3 linked regions of the Arabidopsis thaliana genome follow. The protein of the gene in region 3 interacts with the protein of the main gene of each other region in a pairwise test. Each region holds a gene or a part of one and is shown on either strand. Other genes may lie near its edges.

Region 1 (8,121 bases), on a different chromosome or scaffold from region 3:
ATGACATGTTTCCACTTCCTAAGGTCAAAATATGATGCATATGATAATTGACGACTACAGGAGACGACTTCTTATGATCATCATCAGGATTTTGAAGCTGAGGTGACGATAAAAATAAATAATCGCTACCTTTTCTGTAGGCGAACAATAGCTTCGGGCGAGCCAAAGATCTAGTCAAGAACAACTCGGTGAAATATGGACGGCTAAGTGTGGAGGCCCATTGCTTCGATACGCAACGACATCTCGCTATAGAATTCACCGACAACCTCAAGAATATCTCGATAATGAGATCAATTGGGATCTGCAAGGAGTTTTTAGTTCCATCCTCTAAGCGCAGAGACGTTTTCATGGCCGAAATAAATAAACCCTAAGAGAGAGAGACTCCTTGTAGAAGAAGAAACCAATGCGGTAAAACAAAGGCAAGTAAAAGCCAAAAAAAAGTTAATCACAATGGTAAAAACATGGACTGAGAGAAAGCCCGTATAGCCCAAAGTTTCCAAGCTTGTATAAGGCCCAACCAAATAACCTAACGAGTTTAAAGTTCAAACGTGATGAAACGTTACCGTTTTAGCGTTTCTCATGTTTCTTCCATATAAATAGTTTTAGTTTTGTAGAAAACCCTAATCGACGACGGCCATTATGATAAATGACGGCGGAGCTAAACCGGAGACGCTGCTTAGGGTTGCAGAAATCGGTGGAAGAGGAAGGAGTTTGGTGGCGGCACAGTCTCTTCGTGCTGGACAAGTTATCCTCAGAGAGTCTCCTCTCCTTCTCTACTCTGCTTTTCCATTTCTCTCCTCCTCTGTTTCTCCTTACTGCGACCATTGTTTCCGTTTGTTAGCTTCATCGGCGCATCAGAAATGTCAATCTTGCTCTCTCGTCTCCTTTTGTAGCCCTAATTGCTTCGCCTCTCATACTCCTTGGCTCTGCGAATCTCTTCGCCGGCTTCACCAATCATCCTCCTCTGCATTCTCCGATCAACCTTCTGATCGTCAAGTCCAAGCTCGTTTCCTCCTCTCTGCTTACAATCTCGCCGCTGCTTCTCCTTCTGATTTCCAGATTTTGCTCTCTCTCCAAGGTAGTGGCAGCAGCAATGGAGATCCTTCTTGTTCTGCGGGTGATTCTGCAGCTGCTGGGTTTCTTCATTCTCTTTTATCTTCCGTGTGTCCATCTCTTCCGGTGTCTATCTCGCCGGATCTCACGGCGGCTTTACTGTCAAAGGATAAAGTTAACGCCTTTGGTCTGATGGAACCGTGCTCTGTTTCGAATGAGAAAAGATCTGTGCGAGCTTATGGGATTTATCCAAAGACTTCGTTTTTCAATCATGATTGTCTTCCTAATGCTTGTAGATTCGATTATGTTGACTCTGCTTCTGATGGTAATACTGATATCATCATTAGGATGATTCATGATGTTCCTGAAGGTAGAGAAGTTTGTTTAAGCTACTTCCCTGTGAACATGAACTATTCGAGTAGACAAAAGAGATTGCTTGAGGATTACGGTTTTAAGTGTGACTGTGATCGGTGCAAAGTGGAATTTAGTTGGTCTGAAGGTGAGGAAGATGAGAATGAGATTATGGAAGAGATGGAGGATCAAGATGAACAAGAAGAGATGGAAGATTCAGTAGGTGAGAATGAAGAAGAAGTTTGTGGAAATGGTGTGGATGATGAATCTAATTTTCCTCATGCTTACTTTTTTGTGAGATATATGTGTGAGAAGGAGAATTGTTTTGGCACTCTAGCTCCGCTTCCCCCGAAGACTCATGATGCTTCGAGAGTTCTTGAATGTAATGTTTGTGGAAGCGTTAAGGAGGATGAAGTTGGCGTAAATCAATGAGGAAGGTTAGCTTAAAGAATTGATCAGCCGAAAATCTCAAGCTTGTTTGATGCAGCCAGACCCAAACAACAAGAGACTTGTCTTGGACCACATCGTTAATCAATGTTGTTTGTTGTTTGATGTTTACTTTTTTTTTTTTACTCAGTTTTGAAAATTCGATAAGTATTCTAGCTCTAGAATTCCATATCTAGGTTTTTTGTTTTCTCCTAGATAGTCTGAAGAATCAATTGTAATGGTCTGTGGAATTACACGGAAACAGTTTTGTTGTAATAATGGAGCATCAGTTTTCTTTGGTTGAATGAAAAATCATAATTTTTTTGACTTTTTAAGTTGAAAACTGCAGAATTACATGGCTTGATGATGTTTGCATTGTTAATCTCTATTACTCTTCAGTGTGCTCAGTGCCTGAAACCATAGCTTCCTTGATAGGGATCAATGTATTGGTAAACCAAATTGTGTAATAGTTTTTCCATAAAATAGATTCAATAGAACCAGTGTAACAAAAAATTATTAGGGGGCTCTGTTTTAAGGTCGCAACATGACGGTGACACAAACATTTTTTAGTGATTAACTTGTTCTCATTCTGTTCCAAGTTCAACAACACAAACTGAGTTTTTTGGCTTCTCTATCAGAGAACTAATGTGATTCTACAACACAACCTGCTCTGACTGACTTACTCTGCTATGTTCTGTTTTGCTCTGCTCTGTTCTCACTTCCACGTCTCTGTTTTTGTCATTGACATTTCGACTTGTAGGAACTTAAACATTTAGTGGATTGACTGGCAAGATTGATCCAACCTTTTCCAATCTTACATCCATAAATAAGTTGATATTTTTTCTGGTTTTTATTTGGCAAACACTAATGCACCCTAGGGTTCAATGAGATATATATATATTACACTAACACAAGTACACAACCAAATGTTATTGTAGGGACTTGTAATAATTTAACAGACCCAGATTCCTCACAAATTCTACCAAATTTGCGAGTCATTCAAGCTAGCAAACATTATCATCTATAAATAAATAGTTTTCTAAACATAGTAAAGAACATAATTTTAAAATTCGAAACGTTCCTGATAAATTTTCTTCTCACATTCTAAAGAACAAAAGTATAGATCAGCTCCGTCCTCGGGAAGCGTACGAACGAAAGGGAGCTTGCATCGAGAGTTGCACACGCAGCAAAGTGGTCTACAAATAGAGTGGTTGGATACAAATGTTCCTATCCATGTTAACGCTCCTGGCATGGAATATGCGTAAGTATCTATAACGCAGGAAATATGCAATGTGATCCCACACTCATTGCATGTATAGAACCATTTTTCTGGGTTCACAGTTGTTTCGCATGCTTCACACCAATATTTGCCAGCCACGCCCATTTCGCCATAAGATAAGAAGAGAGGATGATCGTCGTACCTATGCCTCATTACCTTTTGCGGTAAAATAGCACACTTGAAGCACAAACCAAATTCACAATCATCGCAACTCAATTTCCCGTCTCCATCACACTCACTACAACGTTTGGAGTGATCTGTAGAGTAGTGTAAAGGATGTTGATGGCTTTTGTGCTCAAATGGTTCTGTAACTGTAGCGCACCGTACATCTATCCTTAATTCCTTAGATTCATAGGAGAAACCGGTGAACAGTTGACGGCAAATACTACACCTATGTAACAAGTAGGTGCCATAATTTGGGGATAGTTCGAGTGGCTGGTTGTGGCACACATGACGTTTCTTTAAAGGAAGCTTGGCACATTTTTCGTGGATTATGAAATCGCATCTCTTTCTCGCGCAAGCGTAGAACGGTTCTGAACAAATCTGGAAGACACATGCGGTACAAACTACACTTTCTGGTAGATTCCAGCCACGGTAAATTCGTAAGTTATGCTTATGGCCGTAATGGTCTATCGTGTTGTCATCAATCACCTTGAATGGCGCAGTTTCCTCTTCTTCGGGTGTCCCTTCCAGTTCGATCATGTCCCATACATCCCTTCTGGTTGCGCATCTTGAATGAACAAAATAATCAAAACATTTGGAGCAAGAATAAGCCCCGTAGAACCCATCCACATTTTTACGACAAACTCTGCATTTCCCGTCTCCATGTCCGAGGCGAGGGGTGTAAGAGATGCGGTGGTCGTGGCGGTTGATGTTTATGACGCGAGGTAGATCGATACATTCCCGATGAATCATGAAATTGCACTGAAGACAGAAATAAGGGCTACGGTCACCTAGCGTCCCACAAGCATTGCAAGTGAAGTCAATGCGTCTTGGAACAAGGTGAAGTTGATGTTCATGGGTCCTCGGGCTTTTAACAAGAACCGGTGGTGGGTTTTTCATACATGATCTGCATATGCTAAAATTACAAACACCACAGTGGTGAAGCTGGCGATGGATTCCATCAAACTCCTCGCGGCAAAGAAGACATTTCTTGTCGGCGTAACCAGGGACTTCATATCTAAGTGACTTGAGTGGGTGTTGGGGGTGAGAAGTGTGGTATGCTTCTGGACTATTATGATCGATACAATCCAGACTGATGAAAAACTCGCATTGATGACATGTGTAGAAATGTTTCCAGCTATTATGTTGATGGCCACACCCTTTGCAATCTCTGAGTGTTTCGTGCGCTTCATGGGAGAGTTGGAGTGGATGCTCGTGTAGGTAGGAGTTTTCAGCAAGAACAAGTAGGGCTGGTCTCCTCGCGCAAATCAAATCCAACTGGAAATCACATTTGTTACAGCGATAACCGACACTGAAAAATTCTCCACAGAAACTACAATTAGAAACTCTGGTATGTAGGAGGATCAGCTTGAGAGGATGGACTGGATGGTAAGGGTGGTCGATTTCTGGTAACGGCTTGGCGCACTCTTCATGGAACACAACATCACATCCCGGCTCATTGCATCGGTGTCCTCCGTAAATGTAACTGCAACCGGGATGTTTGGAAATGAAGCTTGTATTATCTTCATCGGTCGAGTAGCATCCTTTACACTTGGTGAACTCGAAGCGTGTAAAAGGTATCAACGGATGCTCATGAAATGGTAACAATTTTTCAAGGCGGGATGCTTCTTCGTCCATGCCTTCATTAAACAAAGCTAGAAAGTTTTCCATGGTGATGTTTTCTTACTTCCACCAAAACACAAAGCTCTTCTCTTCTGCACTAGTTTCAGACTTGGTTTCTTGTTTTTCTCTCTTTCTTTTCTTTCAGGATTTTTTTTCAAGTGGTTTATCATTTTCAGACTTTGCAAATAGTTAATATGAATTCGCACCACAGAAATGATTCTTTTCATTACTGAGATTGAGACCACATGTGTTGGCTTCATCCTTGCATTATTTAATTAACTCAGACCACATATGTTGACTCTGCAACTATTGTGTCCGGCCAAAACATAAATAATTGAATGAATACAAAAAAGGTTTTTTCTTGCATTAAATGGAATAGAAGTTTATGGATAGAATAGTTTAGAATTTAAATGGATGGAACTGTACATTTTGTGGAAAAAACAGTTTGAAGTCTGAACCACACAACTCCTTGGCCAAGTAGCTTTGGAGGTAGACTTTGCTGCATTCAAGTCTCTGAAACCAAAGTTTTATTATTGTATTGCATCCACTAACTTTTATGTAATTTCAGACCAAAAGATTTGTATTTTTGTCTTTAAGACCAGGATTGGGCCAATCTTTGTTTTTTAATTTTTATACAGCCAAAAGTAAGTTCTATTTCCACCATCAGATTGTATAACCCATTTGAATAACACTATAAAGTTAACATATATATACCATCTGAAACATTCGAAGAATCATTTGTCAAATCACATGTATTCAAATCACTCAGAGCAAATTTTGATTAATAAAGAAGTTAAAAAGACATACTGCGTATACATGAGCTGCTCTTGCTTTAGCACAAAACAGAGACCAGATTCCAGTTCCAGCTCTAATGTCAAGAAACTTGTTCTTTTAAATATCCTGTTAAGAAATTCTGTTTCTAAGATCATTGAGACTGCTGCTGACTGGATTCAAAAGATTGATAATTGTGGAAAAAGCGCATAAGCTTGAGGTTAAAAAAAAACTATTGTAAAACATACTTTTGGAATTAAATGGTACAAAGTTTTTCTTCATTAAAACATGCCTTACCAATCACTACTAGAGTAGTTATTAGAGCGGTTGAAATTATAATAACAGTTTAAAGAACAAATGTATAAAACAACATCGGCTTTGGAAACGACCTTAACAATGGAAGGAAGCTTGCATTGAGAGTTACACACATAGCAAAATGGTCTACACATAGAGGTGTTGGATACCACCAAGTCTTCCTCCCATCCTATTTTGGAACCTGGCATATAATATGAGAAGTCTCCCACAACGCATGAAATATGCAATATGACACCACAATCATTGCATGTATAGAACCATTTCTTCGAATTCACTTTTGTTTCACATGCTTCACACCAGTATTCTCCATCCACACTACTTTCACCACACGACAAGTAAAGAGGATGATCGTCGTATCTATGCCACTTTACTTTCTGCGGTAAAAGAGCACACTTGAAGTCCAAACTATAGTCACACTCATCACAGCTAAAGCTTCCTATATCTAGATCCATGTTTTTGCCACATTCCGTACAAGACTTAGAACTACGTTTCGAAAAGTATAAGGGATGTTGATGGCTTTGGTGCACCAATGGTTCTCGAATTGAACCACATCGTACATCTAGAGTAACCATACGAGTAAGACACTCGTACCTGAAACCGGTGAAACTTTGCCAACAAAGATCACATGAAGTTTCGTCTGAAGTATCATTTGTGACTAGGGTAAATGGTAGGTTGTCGCAAACATGCCGTTTCTTCCGAGGCAGGTTAGCACATTTTTGGTGGAGAATGAAGTCACAATTCTCGCAACTGTAGAACGCATCTGAACAGATCTGGAAGACACATGCTTTACATAGTGTGCTTTCATGGAGAATCCTCCCATCCTTGTTGATTACTAAGTTATGATCATGGCTAAAATGTTTGATCGTGTTATCATCAATCACCTCGAATGGCGCATCTTCCTCTGGCTCTTCGGGTGTCCCTTCTAGCTCTATCATGTCCCATACATCCTCGTCCGTTGCGCATCTCGAGTGAACAACATAGTTAGAACATTTTGAGCAAGAATAACCCCCGTAGAAGCCATCAACCTTTTTACGACAAACCCCGCATGTATTTTGCCCATGTCCAAGACGACGAGTGTAGGAGATGCGATGATCGTGGCGGTTGATGTTTATGACGCGGGGCAAATCGATACACTCCCAATGAATCATGAAGTTGCATTGAAGACAGAAATAAGGGCTTTGATCAGCTTGAGTCCCGCAAGCATTGCAAGTGAAACCGAGAGGTTTTGAAAGAAGATAAAGTTGATGCTCATGGGTGGTCGGGCTTACAACACTAAGCGGCGGTGGGTTTTCCATACAGCCGCCACATATGGTAAAGTTACAAACATCACAGTGGTGAATTCGTCCGTCAAACTTATTCCCGCAAAGAAGACACTTGTTGTCGGCGTAATCGGGTGCTTCTTCACATCTAAGGAGCTTGAGTGGGTGTTGGGGGTGTAAAACGTGGCTAGCTTGTGGAAAAAGTTTGGTACACTCCACATGAAAGCGTAAATCGCATTTATTACATTTGTAATGAACAGCATCGAAAACTCCCCATTTGCATGTTTTGCAAAGTTGCACAAAACCGTCACGGGTTCCATCAGAGAGCTGAATCGGATGCTCGTGGACAGTGGATTCTTCAAGAATAAATTCCAAAGGCAACCTCGTCGCGCAACGAAAATCCAACTTGAAGTCACAAATCGAACAAAGATAACCATTTTCAAACGAAGATGGACACTGGCTACAAGAAGCAAGTGGTTCGACATTTATGAGGAGCTTTAGAGGATGGTCTGGATGAGAATAGTGGTTGATTTCTGGTAACGGGTCGGCACACTCTTTATGAAACACAGATTCACACCCCAACTCATTGCAATGGTAGCCTCCATATATGTAACCAACATACCCACACCCTTTACAAGCCTTGTAGGAAAAACGAGTAAAAGGTAACAGCGGATGGTTATGAATTGGTGGTACCTCTACTTTTTCCATGGTGATCCAAATCAAACCACAGATCTCTTTTGTGATGTTTTTCTTTTCTATTTTTGTTTCTATCGGATCTCTCAAAGTGGGCATATAACGATGAATAATCAAATAATGCATATGATCAAAATTAATGCCATACCACGTGAAATATTGATTATTGTTGCCACTGAGATCCAGCGT
Region 2 (9,202 bases), 6.9 Mb from region 3:
TTTTTCTGTTCCTTTTTATTTGATTTTTTTGGAAAAATATTTGTTTTAAAAAGATTGATTTTGTAAATTTTCTATTCAATATTTATTAGTTATTATTAATAAATTGTAAATTTTAATAGTTCAATCATTGGTTTAAAATAATAAAAAATTGTAAAACACAAAAAAATAATATATTTAATATCAATTTTAATATATTTTTTTTAATATGTGTATTTTTCCTAAAATATCAAATAAAAATGAAAAGAGGGAATATTATAGTACAACTATTCACACACCATGCAACATTGAATATACTGCGACATTGAATATACCATCACCCTGGAATTATGTTAACCACAGTCAACAAAAAAGAAAAAGTTAATTAGCTCTGTGTAAGAAAAAAAAAAAGAAAAATTTAATTAGCATTGTTGTTCCAAGATTTTTTTTTGTCCAAGAAGCATATATGATTATAGGCTAAATTGTTGGGCATTCTTTTAAGTTATAACAAATATTTTTGTAGATTTCTTTGTGACAGCAATATATATTGGAAATGGAATAAAGAATATTTCAGGATTTGTTTTTTACAATTATGACTTTTGATAGTGAAATTCTGATTAAAAAATTCAGAAAAGTTTTTTTTTTTCAACTTTGCTTGAGGAATCCAAAAATATGTTGGACCAGCCCAGATGGTCTCATTGTCCTTGTGTTTATTAATCACATATTAGTAATAACTTGAGTTTTTTTCTTTTAATTTATGTGAAGAAGCACATGCCCTGCTTTTGGTCCTCACACCTTTTATCTCAACTTAGGTGGTATACTTGTATCTCCACAGCCTTTCGTTACAACAATATCAACCTTTCTCTTGAATCTTGGAACTTAGCAAACACGGAAGCACCACACTTTTTGATGATATATTGGGTTATTCAAAACATTGCTATGTTTGTGAATTCATGAGACTTATTAGTTATTAGAATGATGCAGGTAACTAGTTTAAATATTTGGTATAAGTTTAACAATGGTAGAATTGGTTTTTAACATTTGCGTGAATGAACTAACACTAGTGTTAGTATATAAAGAGATATGAAACATTCTAGTGACTCCAATTATTGCTAATAATATTTTATTTTATTTCTTCATTGCTAAAATTTTTTTGTATTGAGAATTTCTTGATTCCTCACAATTTTATTATTAGTGGACAACTTCTGCTTACTCGTTTTTCTCATGCTCGCTACTAGTTAGTATCTTTTTGTTCTTACTCTAATTTTGTATTTTTCTAAGAAATATTGAAACATGAAAACTAAACGAACGGACCACGAGGCCTGTTAAGAACAGATTCTCTTTCTTGTTTGATATTGATATTGATATTGGGCCCATGAGTAAGTTATAATCTGTTGTCTTGTATTTTAGGAAGGACCCACTTCAGAAACGTGCAAAAACTAGTCCATCAGCCAAGAGAGGAATTAGCAGACAATATGAACATTTTAGTGGAAAGAAAGATGAAACCGGATAACTAACCGATAGATAGATAATCCCAATCCATAATTCACCTAGAACTCGAGGAAAGGGCAAATCAAGCCTAGAAGCTAATCATGAAGAAAGAAAGATCAGCTAGGAGAACATTGTTTAATTGAATTGTTGAGTATGGTCGAATGACCTACATATATTGTTGCTGACATGAAAGAAACCTACAAACCAAAACCGGTTTAAATAAACGATTTAGTTAAACCAGAGATAATAAGGAATTAGGAGGAGTAAACCATGTTATCGATGAAGCTTCTGTTACAACTTACAAAAGAGCAATAAAAGAGATAAAAAAAAAAGTCATTAAGAGCAAACTAATATCATTCCATAAAAAAATGGAAATAATACAAAGCACAAACCTTGTACCGAGAGAACCCGGTTTGTATACAGTCTATAACCCCTAAACCGGTTCTGGTCGCAATAAAAAACATACAGACATTTCCCCAAAGATATTTTAAAAAGAATACCAAAAATCAAAATCAAGATGTAAAAAACACTTTACAGTTGTGTTTAACAAATAAATAATATGAAGATGGAAACAAGAAGCAGAATCATATTTTGGTTGTGTAGTTGTTACTAGGGGGAGTTTTCATGAAGCTAATGATCTTGGAACTCTCATACCAAATCCATGCTTCACTTTCTCAATCCTGTTTCAAGTTTAACACACTAAAACTTTAGAATCTTAGGTGATCTCAAAATCTCAAAAGAATAAAAATCATTTGTGTGAATCTGCTTACGTTGGGGCTAATTTGCCAAGGCTGTGAAGTTCTTCTCCTGAATCTTGATCAAGGATTCTTCCTGATATATCAACAATGTAAGAACGGTTCTTGTCTCTAGGCAGACCACGACCCACAAGTAACTCGAAATCTCTCTTGTGAAGCTCTCTTCCATTCACAAACACGTCTGTGTTTCCTGCAGCGCAGTTATCCAGCATTGGATGGCTAAACTCTTCAATAAATGGCTGCAACAACAACAAGTAAGTCAACCATTTCTTCATCAATTTGATGACACCATTCCAATAATCAACTTGAGAGAACAATGTGAAGGTACTTACAGGTATTATACCGAGACACGGTTTGCCCATCACTCCCCAGAACCCAGCTCGGTAATCATACCTGAATCAGAGACATGTATCAGAAACTGAGTAAAGGGAAAAACAAAAACAAGAGAGAAACAGTGGATGCTGAAGTTCATGGAAGTACCAATACTTTCCAGCTTGGATTGGTCCAGCTAATTTCTCAGCACTGCTAACAAGATCTTCTGGTATAAGATGTCCATTAACCCAAACCTCTAATGACTTCATCTGGTCTTCGTTTTGATCAGTAGAGGACCTCGTTGTGATCTCTGTCGAACCGTACTCACTACCCTTTCTGTTTGAGTACCTTGAATCTTCTGAGATCTCGGTGTTAGAGTATCCATTGTAAGAAACCTCTGTCTCTGTAGCTACTGATTCTGGTTTCAGCGAGTCCTGTGTCATGAAAGACTTTTGCTTATCTGGCTTTTCATAACCTAACTGCGCCATTCCATAAGCGAGTGCAGCTCTGTTTACATTAGAATACTCAAAAAGTTCAAGGAGACTGGCATTATCAGGAGCAGCGGGTTCAGGTGCTTTTGACCCTTTACCTCGCCGACGAACAGATTTGACCTCCTTCTGTTGTTGTTCACTAGAATTGCTCGATCTTTCTTCATCATCTGAGTGTTGAGATTCAGAGCGGACGCTTTGCGTAGTAATAGTATCCTGATGATTTCTCAGTTCTTGCACTGGTTCTTCTTCATCCTTACGTGGAATATCTCTACCTGAGCTGTTGAAATCAACAGAAGAGACTTCCTCCTCTATCACTACTGTGTTTGTTGTGTTTCTATCTTCAACCTCTAGAGAGACCGGTTTTGTTTCCTCATTACCAGAAGAGAAAACGAGTTTCCTATCAACGATTGTGAAACTAATAACTTCAGAACAAGCACCGCACTGCAGCTTATGTAACCTTTCCTGAGACAAAAGCTTCTTCTTAGGCAAGTAAAGCAGCTCAAAGCAACTATGACAAGCTATAAAAGGAGCACCACCAGCAAGAGGATGACAACGTCGAACACCAGTATCCGATACAGCTTTCTTAACATACCCACGAGCAAAAGCACCGCCCATTTCAGAATCATGTTCACTCGGCCACCTTGCATAACCACCTCGAGGACCTGGAGTGCCCATCGAAGAAGGAAAACTCGAACCGTTATTAACACGTGGACTATACGGTGTCGTGAGTTTCTCGCCACGATGGTGAGACGAAACCGGGCTATACGGAGGCATATCACTGTACTGTGTAGCGAGTTTCTCTTCACGATGGTGAGACGAAACCGGGCTATACGGAGGCAGGTCACCGTACCTACCAGGAGTAGCTGGATAGTAAGAATGTGGCTCAACTATATCAGGACCAAGTTCAACATATTGACCTCCAGGATACTGACGAGCCATCTGATTAGGGTAATGACCAGGAGGATACCAGTTTGGATTAGGAACTGGAGGTGGTCTTCTTTGGTACCCATAAGGATCTTGATAAGCTTGAGGATACATTCCATGAACCGGTCCAGGGTATTGAATAGGTTCTGGATACTGATGGTAATAAGAAGGACCAGGATTATGATTAGCATGACCATGAAGATGAACTGGTCTAAGGAAAGGCTGATTCTGATCTGGTTCTTTAGGTTTATCAACTACATTATTACCACCACCACCACCGCGAAGTAGATGATCTTTGATAGAATCTAACCTTCTTAAAAGCTCAGCTCGTTCATGCTCTGTATACTCAATAGGGTTGTTGCTGCTGCTTGTGTTCTTAGATGAAGAATCTGATCCGTAATTAGGCTCGTCATTTCTCAAGCTTTTTCCAGATCTTTGAGACCCAGCTCGCGAATTTGAGTGTTTCTCCTTCAGACTCGTTTCTTCTTCGCTTCTTGAAGAACCAGCATCTGATCTCGTACCTTCTGCTTCAGAGACATCGCCTCGCGACCTCATCAGCCACTATTTCTAGGGTTTTGCTTTGTTTTTTTCCAACTGCGATTCAAATCAAAAAAGTTTCGATTTTTTATCAAATTCGAACTCAAAAACATATATCTCCGATTGAATTCAGATAAAACGAAGAACCAACAGGTAGAAATCAAACGAACCGTGAAGAATGTCGTCGGCGATATAGGTGAGAAGACGAATTTGATGATCTTCTCCGGTGGGAATAAATGAACCAATCTCTATGATGCAACCAATTTTCTAAAAAGGGGTTTTTGGAAAGAAAATTCAGAAGAATTAAAAGTCTTCTTCAATTGCTTCTTGGGGGATTAAATGTCTGCTTACTTACTACCAAACTTGAGCTGGAAGGTTTAAGCAACAATTAACATTATTATGTTAATTTTCTTCTAGCGTTTTTCCTTGGCTTTCCCGGGAATCTTAAGGGAAAGACAAAAGAAAATTTGATGAATAGATTTGAAAACTTAAGGAGGGGAAGAAGATGGAAGCAAAAAATCAAACTTTGTTAGCGTTGATTTGATATTCGTTTTTTAAAACTTTTGAGTAAAGAAGAGATGAGCGCGTATGTAATGTAAGTAAGCGCGTGAAACTAGAATTTAGACTGTAGTACGGTTGAGCGGACCGGGTCTCGTTGACTCGCAGATAAGGAGACTAACCAAATTATTACTAAAATATACGAAATCTAGAAACATGAGTGTGACTGTTTACCGACAGGTAAATTAATACGTTCTCAGATATCGCAATTTTCCAAATTTGTGAACTTAATTACTAAGAACAATTCAATTACTCGGGAAAAAAACATTCAAATTTAGAACTTACGATTACTAGTAGTATTTGATTTTTCAATATATGCCAATAAGCAGCAATAGTTATTTTCTAAAACTAAGACGACTTCCTATTTTCGTACTTTTGTGAGTGTGTTTGTACGAAAACAGACCAGCTAGTCAAATGAAATTATACATTGAGCAACCTTTTTTATATCAATAATACTAGGTCTGGTCATTCGGGTATCCCTATCTGTTTGGTTCTTTTTTGGATATCAAATCTATTCGGATATGAAGAGGTTGAGAACCATTCAGATATTCTAAAAACTTGGTTCGATTTTGGTTCGGATTCGGATCGGTTCGGTTGTTTTAGTAAAAATATAAAAATAACCAAAAATATCAATAATATTTTCAGATATTATTATAATAACCAAAAATACCCAAATATTATTATAATACAATTAAAAAGTAAATAAAAATAGGAAAATATCACTTTATATGCTCAGAAGACTGAAAAATTAGGTGTAGGAATTGTGGACTATTTCAACAGTAAAAGAACTAATGAAGTTACTTTATTATTCTTCTGTATTTTTCTTTTTTTTAATTAAAGTCTCATATATTGTTTTGTTACTAAATATTTTCATTGTTATCATCAGGTTAACCTCGTTAACAATTATTAGTAAATATTATGTATAAATTATCCGTTACAGTAAACATTATTCATGTATCGAATATCTTAACGTTTTCATATAAATATTATTCTGTTATATAATATATTAGCATGTTATCATTCTATATATCATGTAGTTATAATTATTATCATGTTAATTATATAAAAAAGTCTAATTTCCTTTTATTGTGCTGAATATACATAAATAAAAAATTCTGATTTACAATTTTAAATCGATAAATATGTTTTAACAAATAATTTATAAACTTATCGCGATATCATAGTTTTTAAAACATTAAACAAATAATTATATACTTATCATCCGAATATTACAATTATTTTTATTCAATAGCATTTTTGTAATTAATTTTTTTAAAAAAAATTTTTTGGTTTATATATTATTTATCTTTCATACTTACCTAAATAACTAATATTTATATATAAATTCTTTATTTTTTCATCATCCTCCCAGCATATCGATTAATATAGTCCATAAAAATACGTCAAGTTTAATGCTTCCATGTTAGAAGACGTGCTCTCAAAACTTCTTCTTTTGTTTGTTTTCTAATTCACAACTTGAATCTAAAAGAAACCTGGATCCTAAACGTTGAAAAATATTAACCTCGTAAACGAAGACTTGAAAGATATATGGGGAGTGTTATATGATCACATAGTGTAGGTCGCCTTCTGACTATTTTTGTGGTTTATACAAAAAGCTACGTACAGCTGTAAAGTCTTCTACTCTGTGTCTCTGTCTATCATTTAAAGATGGATTTATAGATAGTCCACTTTCCAACACCAATCAGATTTGACAAAAATATTAACATTGCATTTTTGGGATAACTATCGTTGACTTTTTTACTACCTATTTTATCGGTTAGTTATTAGACTAAGGAAACACAGAGTTTAATTGACAGAACTTCTGAGCTGTTTAGGCCCGTAATTCTTTCCCTAATTGATAAAAGGGCCCTATTTGTTTAGGTGCATAACAGGCTTCATTATATGGGCTTAGAACGGCCCGATTTGTTTACATGAAGACTTTTACATTTTAATAATTTGAACTTGATCATGTAAGTGAGTATGAGTAATGAGCTGGTGAACTTTTTTTATGTGTGATCTACATAATTATCACATAGAATAATAGCCATAAGGCTTTCGGTATTTGATTCTTATCAACTGTGGTCCGACATCTACTTTTATACACACCCACTTGTTTTTTTGTTAAAGGCTTTTTTCTTTGTTTTGAAAGTAATGATAGTGTATATAACTAAACATAAAAACTCGATATTGATTTGTTGTTTTGAGTATGGACCCTCCAAAACATGAAAAGACAAGAAACAAGATTGATGGCATAGTTGCAATTTTCTTATACATTATATGATGGGTCTGATTGGTAACCAAAAGGTATACAAGATTTTTAGCTGTTAGATTTATCGGAATAGTGCAAAGCTGTTAGAAGGAACTATACAAAGAAATTATTAAAAAAAGGTGAGTATAAAACTTTTAATAACACTTTTGATAAAGTTTTTGTGATTGGTAACTTTCAAAGTTATACAAAGCTATACTATTATTATTGTGGTTATCATTCAAACCCGATATCATCTTGGAAAAAGTTAAAATCTCTCTCCGCTATACTTAACAAAAATAATTTTTTTGGGAAAATTATTTTATCTTTTTGTCGTTCCTTCCATATTAAGCCCAACAATATTTAGATAAAAATATAGATAGAACTAATTTACAGTCTGTGAAGTATGTAGTGTGAAAGTATTTCAACTTTTTTTATGATCCCAAAATTGATGTGGTTACGAAAACTTACTAGTATTACAAAGACTGGAAGAAGTAACCAAACAAATGGATCATACTGACCAAACGGGATCAAGCACTAACACAGTTGTACCATTATCACGTGGCGTACATATATGGAGAGAGTATATCTTACGCACTTAGTAACGCGCGTTAGATAACACCTGATGGTACCACATCATAAGAAAACTTTGCAAACAAATCCTTAAACTAACAATTGTTTCTGCATACACCCCTTGACTTAAAATTCTTAACTTTTTTTTCTACACTAACTTCTTTAACAATTGAATAACGAGAGTGTCGAAATTCGAGTGTACAACATTTTAAAACTGTTTTTTTTTGTTTTTAAATCCTTAACCTCTTAAATATAATATCAAGTGTATAATTGTTTAAATCTTTAACCTTTTAAGAACTTAAAAGATAGGTGACGTTGAACATAATTAAATATCACTAAAAAGAAAAAATCACAAATGCGGCTACTAATCGCCACACACTCAACTTCACCGCTGACGTGCAGATTTTTAATCAAATGAAGAATAATTTCGCACATTTCGAAGTAAAAGGGCTATTTTACAAAACATGATTAAGTCAAGGGGTTGGTTTGCAAATATTTCACAACAGAAATGTGCCATTAAAACGGCGTCGTTATGATTCAGGCTTAATCAGTAGGTTGTGTCTTTTGGCTTTTATCATCGCCGCCGGGACACAACACAAAGAGGGGCTTAGATTTGTGCTTTCGAGAAGTGCTTTGATCTCTCTTCTCCATTTTCACTTCTAATCGGAGATTTCTCTTAGGGTTTTGTTATTCGTTGAGAGATCGAATTAAAAACTTGTGAAGAAATCTCTAGGGATCGTAATCGTTGTTGGTGTGGGGTATTACACTGATTCCGGTTTGAACCTGAATCGTATCTATCAATCGATGGCATCAGAGGATGTGAAAAGAACAGAATCAGCAGCTGTGTCAACGATCGTAAATCTGGCGGAGGAAGCGAGGGAAGGAGTCAAAGCTCCGAGTTATGCTTTTAAAAGCATCTGCAAGTCTCTTTTTGCCGGTGGTGTCGCTGGTGGAGTGTGAGTCCTTTTTCTCATTCCTTCATTGTTTTATCAATTTTAATGAATATTGGGATTAGTAACGAGACATCTCCTGAAATGATGAGTAGGGACTGACTATACATTTGTTTGAGAACGTCAAAATTAGATTTAAGAACTTATAGAGTTGTCCTTTTTTCAGTGTTTTTGTATGTTTTGTCGTGGGTTAACATGAAAAATCTGAACTTTATTGGTGTTGATCCTGTTACTGAATGCTGACGATAAATGTAGTAGAGATCAGTCCGTTACTTGTTTTTTTTTTTTTTCCGTTGAGATCGAAATTCGTGTTGAAGCAGTCAAATATAGATACGGGCTTATGTCCAATGGATAAGAGGAGCAGAAAAACGCAGTCTTTACTCGATTAGC
Region 3 (7,183 bases):
TTTTCATGCCTAAATAATTAATGTCAGTAGCATGACATTGTAAATAAGTTCAAATACATGATTTGTTTATTTAAACAAAAAACGTTTAGTAAGAACAATATTTATTTAAACAAAAAACTTTGTTTTAAAATATTGTTAATAAAAAACGTTTATGCTAATTTTAAGGGATTGATGTGAAGTTTGTTTGGATTAAATTTGATTGATAATGCGATTGACAATTTAAATTAAAAATTTAAAGTAAAATTTATTATTTTGGAAAAAAGATTTAATGCTAATGGTATTGGGTTGTAAATAAGTCCAACTCTATGATTTCTTTGCTAAAATGGCTGCAAAAATGTATATATAGATTGTCTGTTTTTATGTTATTCTTATATAAACGAAATATTTAAGTCATAATGTAAAGAACTATTATTAGGATTTCCACTTGGTATTGTAATTATACATCATCATAATTTAAGTTAGACTTCCACCAAATCTGCATTTTCATGATTATCTTTTTCTGATCACTCTTTTTAAGTCAAACTAAATCGGCCTCATCAAGACAACAACAACTAATTAAAGTTAATCTACATAACAAACTTCTGTTAGAAATGTTGAGTTGCATTGTATGGTACTCAAATATACGTTTATATGACTCAGAACGATGGTGACTGATTAGACAAAGCGAATAAAACAAATAAAAAGTAGGATTAAGTGATTTTTTTTTTTTTTCAAGTATTATTGTTTAGTTGTTAGTTGTTACGAAGATTAAAATGATATTTTCTCATAAATGGTCAGCACTTTAAAAAAAGAAAAATGCTCAGCTCTTTCATATCTTTTAATTTTATTTACTAAATTGAAGAAAATGATGATAATTTTATTGGTATACTAAAACTCATTATGCATGTATTGGTGCACAAAATTTTAAAATGCGAGAATTTGTCATTTCAAATTAAAACCTATGAACTTGTGCATATTATGCAAAAAAGACTTCTCACCATATCACATTCCACAGTTACACTCTCTCTACATATTCTGAGTTCTGACATAACCATTCGGTTAAAATCATAATGTACCGTATTTTAATAAATTTTCGTCATTATGTATCATTGTTCTAAAAACTCATCTTCATTCCTCCACATAACTCTACTAAGACCAAAATGACAAATATTCTTATGTAAATTCAAAATTTTCATTAACTTTTTTTATTTTTAATAATTAATTTTCATTAACTTAACCAATCGTATATAGGTTGTCCAAAAAAAAAAATCTCATTAATATATGCACACACATAAATGTATATTTTTATATATTTGCATGTAATCTGCATGTGAGTTGTCTCTTTTGCAGTCAACGAATTAATTTTAAAATGTGCTGCATTTGTTATATATATCAAACAATTTTTCACGAAAATATTTCCCATAAAAATAGTAATTAGTGACGTTGAATCAAATTTGTTTCTTATTTAAATAAAGTATACACTTGTAAACATTTTATATAATGAAACAAAATTAAAACTCTAAAACATCATATATAATGAAACAGATGGAATATATTCATATACTTGCATTGAATAAGTGCACTTTATTTTTAGACTGGGAACTCTTTACCATAGCAAAAACTTTATCGTTTCAGTGGTTACAAATCACATACATAAATAAAATTAATGGTTGTAAAAACGGTATCACTAATTATCTCTTATCTAATTTGCTACCTATCAATGATTTTATTCAATATCGAATCCTGCCAAATTGTCTAAACCTTAAACATAAGTATATAGATTGGACCCTAAAAACAACCAAAAATATATTTTGAACGAAAAGTTAAATATAAATCTGAAAAATACGAAGCAGATACAACAAACCAAAAAATGGAACCAAAATATATAAATCAAAATTAGTATAAATTTTATAATAATTATTATTTTTTACAATCTGAAAAAGATTAAGAAACAAGGCAACACCGCGCGAGCATCAAAGACAATCAACTCACCAGCTCGACCCGCTACCGAATCCGACCCGAATTCACCTTTCTTCGCAACCCGACCCGCAATCACTCTACAAATCAACATCGCTCTCCTCCCTCCTCCGCCGCCAGTGCTCGCGTGCGCTTCTCCGCTACCGGAAAACGTACAAACCGCCGCTCCTTTCCCTCCGGGAAAACCCCACGCGCCGCCGTTTATCCCTCCCGGAATCGGACCCAACGGAAAAAACCTCATCATCTCATTCCCATCAGCGGAGCACCGCGCGTTTTCATCACACGCGCTGCCGTCAACTCTATCAGAATCAACTTTCGAACACGATCGCGATTTCACAGCTTCTCTATATTCCTCAAACCGGGTCACAGCTTTTGACCCGTTTTCAACTTTAAAAATCATTTCAACCCGACCCGGAAACTCATCGGAGCTCCAACTAGATTGGAATATAATCTCCACGACGTTTCTTGACGGATGACCATCAGGAAGATCGGTCAATACGGGCAATACAGATTCCGAGGAAGCTCGAGCTGATACACTTCGTCGGGTCGGGTGATGAGAATTGGAGTCTAATTCGGGTCGACGAGAAGAGCATAAACGTCTTAAACTCGGGTCCGGTTTTGGGTTTTTCTTAACGGTTCCGGGTTGTGTATTGACAACGTCTCTAACGTTTTTTCTGCAGCTGTAACTTGGCAATAAGAGTTTACCTTTGTTGGAGTGATGATGATAGACATCGTCGAATGCTTTTGATTTGCAATGTAAGGATTTGACCCACCCGATCGGCATATTTCGGGTTGTGTTTTGATTTGGAACCGGATCCGGGTTGTGTCTTTAGAAATTTGAAGTTTGTGATATGTTTAGAGATTTGTGGGGGCTTTGAAGTTTTTGGTGTATGTATGTAATGTACCCATGAAGTATGAACATTGTCCCGCCGTCTTAGAATGGACGTTTTATCGGTTGGTGTTTCTTTATGGTAGTAAATGACGATATTACCCCTTTTATTTTGGGTCCTGACCAATGTCAACGTGAATTTTCCAGCTTCTTGTCTGTAAAAACAAAAGAAACTAATTATGTATCATAACCACGTACAATGCTTTTACCTTGTTAATCATGATTGAATTAACACATGTCTCATTTTAGTTAACTTCTTGTAATGTTGAAGTTAGTTATAACATATCTTTTTCCTTGCCGATGAATTTCTTGATCTAGTTTTTCTTGTGTCAGCGAGAATATCGTTTGTGGTCTATTGATTATGACCATTGTTCTATCCAATGCATAGTTGGATGATGAATTCAGGACAAATAATGTTATTACTTGCGCCAAATTGCTTTTTAGCTTTTGTTTTCAAGCTCTTATACATATTTTGTGGATATATTTTATTTATCCCTTTTTAGCATTGTAAAATATTTTTGTATGTTTTGTCTTAAACTTTATGATCCTTGTATTCTTGGTTTTTTTGAACCTTGTGACTTGAATGATTGAAATGAAATATTTGTTCCATAATAATTATAAAAGAATATCAAATTTTAATAGTATGTGTTTTTAAATAGTAGCTTTCTTTGTATGATGTTGGAATGTCGGATTCACCAAAACGAACTACAGTTTATTTTTTGAATTATTATATGAACTAATTGCATACAATTTGTTGGTGAAACAAACTAAATAAATTTTAATATAAAAATATATAGAACTATGAGAAGGAAGAAAAAGGTAATGCGTCGCTATTAATTTTTTTTTATGCTTTAATAAGACAAAAATGTCACATTTGAAGCTGCAATATCATGAAGCGACAACTTTAATTTAATTTTGAGAAAAGATATGTATTTTCGTGGTATTTTTATATATAGTGGCTTCATGTTATTGCATCTAAAATATGTATAGTGTATGTATTGGATAATTTATATATAATATATAAATATATGGCTTAAGAAAATATATTCTGGGAAACATATATAGTGTATAAATATATGGATTAAAAAAATATACTCCTTCAAGAAAATATATTTATTTAGTGTATAATTATATAGCTTAAATATAGAGTTTGATTAGTATTATTTAGAGAAAATAGTAGAAAAGAGTGAGAGTAAACAAGTAGAAATAGAATATACAGTATCAAGAGAAAATAGCAAAATAGAGTATAATTTTTTTACTCTTATGGAAAGTAGAAGAAAATCTACTCTATTTTTTTAACATAAATGGAAGAAAATAGAAAATAAAAATGATTTTATTTATCATGAATGCTACAAATTAAACAAAATTGAGAATAGAAAAATTTCAACATTTTTATTTCACTCTAAAACCTTGATTAGAGATCTTTACAATTGCGTATTTCAAGAACAAAAAAAATGTTTGCATATTTTAGGTAGGATGATATCTCATAAACCGCACTTATTTATCTTTTTTTTTCTGAAAAAAACAACTCTTATTTATCGAACAACAAATTATCCATTGGTACAAATCGAATTATGCATTGAAAAAAGTAAAAAATTGATTTTTTCATTTCATTTAATTTGTGAGTAATATAGAAAAGAGTTTGATTACCACTAACTAGTATGTAGATGTCAGAAACCTCAATTAGAAATTTGTGGATGTTTCGATGTCTCTATGCCTTGTTAATCGAACAAGATCGAATTTGAAGAATAATGTATTAAGTTATGTATAATGTCGTTACAATCTGACCCTCCTTTACAATTTCATTTCTCTCCTTTTATATTAATATTGTGAGATTCGTAATCACAAATAATGTTTTTCTCGTGTCGCCGATCACGTCTCGATTTAATGTTGTTCGTTTCGAATCCTTATTCCGCCATCATCGCTCTTCACTTTACTCTGTGATTCGTCCGTTACGAAGCGCAAATACTAATCCCCTTCTAGATCTTTCTTGGGCAGCGATAGGCATTCCTAAACCCATGGGTCTTTAAGCAAATAGACCTGATATCTGTTCTCGGCCCATAACATGTATCCGTCTATATTGTGGGTTGGGTGGATAACAAGATCTGACATTTACATAGTGTATGAGTGATTTAAAGCAATATGAGAAGTTAAAACTAGCACTTAACTTTGTGCTAAATTCTTTAGTTTAACTTGTTAAAAAATTTCTTAATAAAATAAATTGCCGAATTTACTTAACAATTTATTTCTCTCCCTAAAATAAAAGTATAGCCTATAATTTTTTTAAATTTTTTTAATGTTTTTAACTATCTAATTCGCAAAAAAAGAACCCTATAATATCAACATATAAAAACTAAAAAGGATTAGAAATATCATTGAAACCAACTTTGTTAATCAAACTAGAATAAGGGCCACCACATTAAGGACTTAGGTAAAAGTGGTGTAAAATGTAAATTGTTCATTTTACAAAAAAAAAAAAAGTGGTCTAAATTGCTTTTTGTGATGTGAAGTTGTGAACTAATATGAATTTGGTCTAAGTCTATTGCCCAAATTATTTATCCTTTTAGTCCTAGAATTTGTTCCAAATTTGATAGTATATAGCATCATCATCAAATTGATCAATTAAAATACGTGACCTATAGACCATAGAAACAAATTATTTAGTAATTTTTTTATGGTATATAGCAAATGGAAATTGTTTTTATGGTTTTCAAAATTTTTTTTTCTGGTCAATTTTTTTTTTATGGTTTTCAAAAAATGGAAATTATTTAGTAATTTTTTTATGGTTTTCAAAAAATGAAAATTATTTAGTAATCAAAATGGAAATTATTTAGTAATTTTTTATGGTTTTCAAATTTTTTTTTTTCTTTCTTCCCGACCTCTCTCCCCTCTCCTTGTTCGCCCTAGCCGTCAAGGCCATCTTCCTCCTCGTTTTGGCCGGTGATTGGTGGCTTCCATAGCACCGTCGCCGGTCCTGTTCTTAGTAGTTTCAGTTTGTTGTCTCTTAGTTATTCTTTGTTCTGATTTTAGTTTCTCAAACCCTAGTTTCGTCGTCTCCTCTTCAAATCTCTCTTTTTTGTGGTGGTTCCGATGTGATGACTATCATGGAGGATGGGTGGCGGATCGGTGCTCTTTGTAGTCGGATCTATTCCCCGGTGGAGCCGTCTCGTTTCTTCGATCTAGTTATGGAGGTTTGTGTTTCCGATCTGGTTCTAATGTCTCAACTATCGGTCTTGTTCTTGTTAGTTTGAGAATTGGACTTGATTTGTTGTATGTTCCGGCTGGTTCTGATGTGGATCTATTGAGTTCTGTTCTTGGATTTTGTTGGCTTTGCGGTGGTGCTGTCTCGTTTGGGGCGTGTATTTAGTCGGCTTTTCGTTTCCATGAGTTAGTTCTGTTTATCCCTTTAGTATTGCAGCAACGGCCTCTTTGTATGCGGATTCTTCTTCCGTTTTTGAGTTCGAGTGACTTCTAGGGTTTGTGTTTTGCTGTGTTTTTCGACTGGTTATGGTTTGAAGCCTCAGGTTCAGCTTTTGGGTAGGCTTGTTTGACTCCTAGCTCTGCCTATCTCTCTGTCCTCCTCTTGGTTTTCGGTGTCGTGGCTTGGTGGAAGGTTCTGTTTTGTGGGTTCTTCAATCGGATGCTAGCCTCCTATAATGGCATCTACTAGCTCTCTGTTGGAACCTCTTTTGGTTTCCCGGCTGAGTTCTGGACGTTGTGGTGGGTCGATCTCTTGTCCTTCTCTTTGCGTGGCGTAACCAATCTTTAGTCTGTAGGTGGCTTTGGCTGGGTCTACGAAGGTCCGTGTGTAAGGATGAGTGGTCCTTTTTAGCGTTTCCCCTCTCGGATCTCAAGGTCTTCCTTGATCCTTCGCCTTCTCATGTTCATTGGCGCTAAAGCGGTTCTGATGGTTAGGTTCTGTGTTCTGATCTTCTTGTTTCGTCGTCTTCGTTTTTGTTGTGGAGATGGTTGTGTGAGCTCGTATTAAATCTCTTTTCAAGACTCCTGTCAGTTGCCTCTCCTCAGCGCCAAACTGTTCTATGGAAGTGTTAGTCGGCGGCTTGTTGGGAAGAGTTTTCAGTGTTGTAGCTTTGGAGGCTTTAGCTATTAATTCTGTAGCTGTTATCTTTGTATCTTTTCTTCTAAGGCTTGTTTTGTTTGTTCACCTTTTTTGGCCTCATGTCTCTGGGGGTTTCTATGTACCCGCCGACTTTGTCTCCGAAAGGATTTTTTCCTTTTCGGCTATATATAACTCAAACGCATCCAATCAATGAAATCCGTCTAAAAAAAATAGCAAATGGAAATTGTTCCTAAATCTTTCACAATTTTCCAAGTATT

The links.
Region 1: the proteins of AT4G12450 (region 3) and AT2G19650 interact in a two-hybrid assay, tested with the Arabidopsis thaliana proteins (one large-scale study listed by BioGRID).
Region 2: the proteins of AT4G12450 (region 3) and AT4G01090 interact in a two-hybrid assay, tested with the Arabidopsis thaliana proteins (one large-scale study listed by BioGRID).

What each region holds. Positions count from the first base shown.
Region 1 is NC_003071.7:8,490,762-8,498,882, forward strand, and holds AT2G19650 (Cysteine/Histidine-rich C1 domain family protein), read right to left. Parts: upstream 5,132-8,121; 5' UTR 4,943-5,131; coding exon 2,894-4,942; 3' UTR 2,708-2,893; downstream 1-2,707. Other genes in the region: AT2G19630 (F-box and associated interaction domains-containing protein), read right to left, coding at 1-349; ASHR2 (ASH1-related protein 2), read left to right, coding at 640-1,836; AT2G19660 (Cysteine/Histidine-rich C1 domain family protein), read right to left, coding at 5,959-8,031.
Region 2 is NC_003075.7:468,745-477,946, forward strand, and holds AT4G01090 (hypothetical protein (DUF3133)), read right to left. Parts: upstream 5,136-9,202; 5' UTR 4,657-5,135; intron 4,544-4,656; 5' UTR 4,505-4,543; coding exon 2,703-4,504; intron 2,616-2,702; coding exon 2,555-2,615; intron 2,462-2,554; coding exon 2,238-2,461; intron 2,148-2,237; coding exon 2,090-2,147; 3' UTR 1,762-2,089; downstream 1-1,761. Other genes in the region: ADNT1 (adenine nucleotide transporter 1), read left to right, coding at 8,667-8,818.
Region 3 is NC_003075.7:7,383,935-7,391,117, forward strand, and holds AT4G12450 (zinc finger (C2H2 type) family protein), read right to left. Parts: upstream 2,998-7,183; 5' UTR 2,741-2,997; coding exon 1,907-2,740; 3' UTR 1,761-1,906; downstream 1-1,760.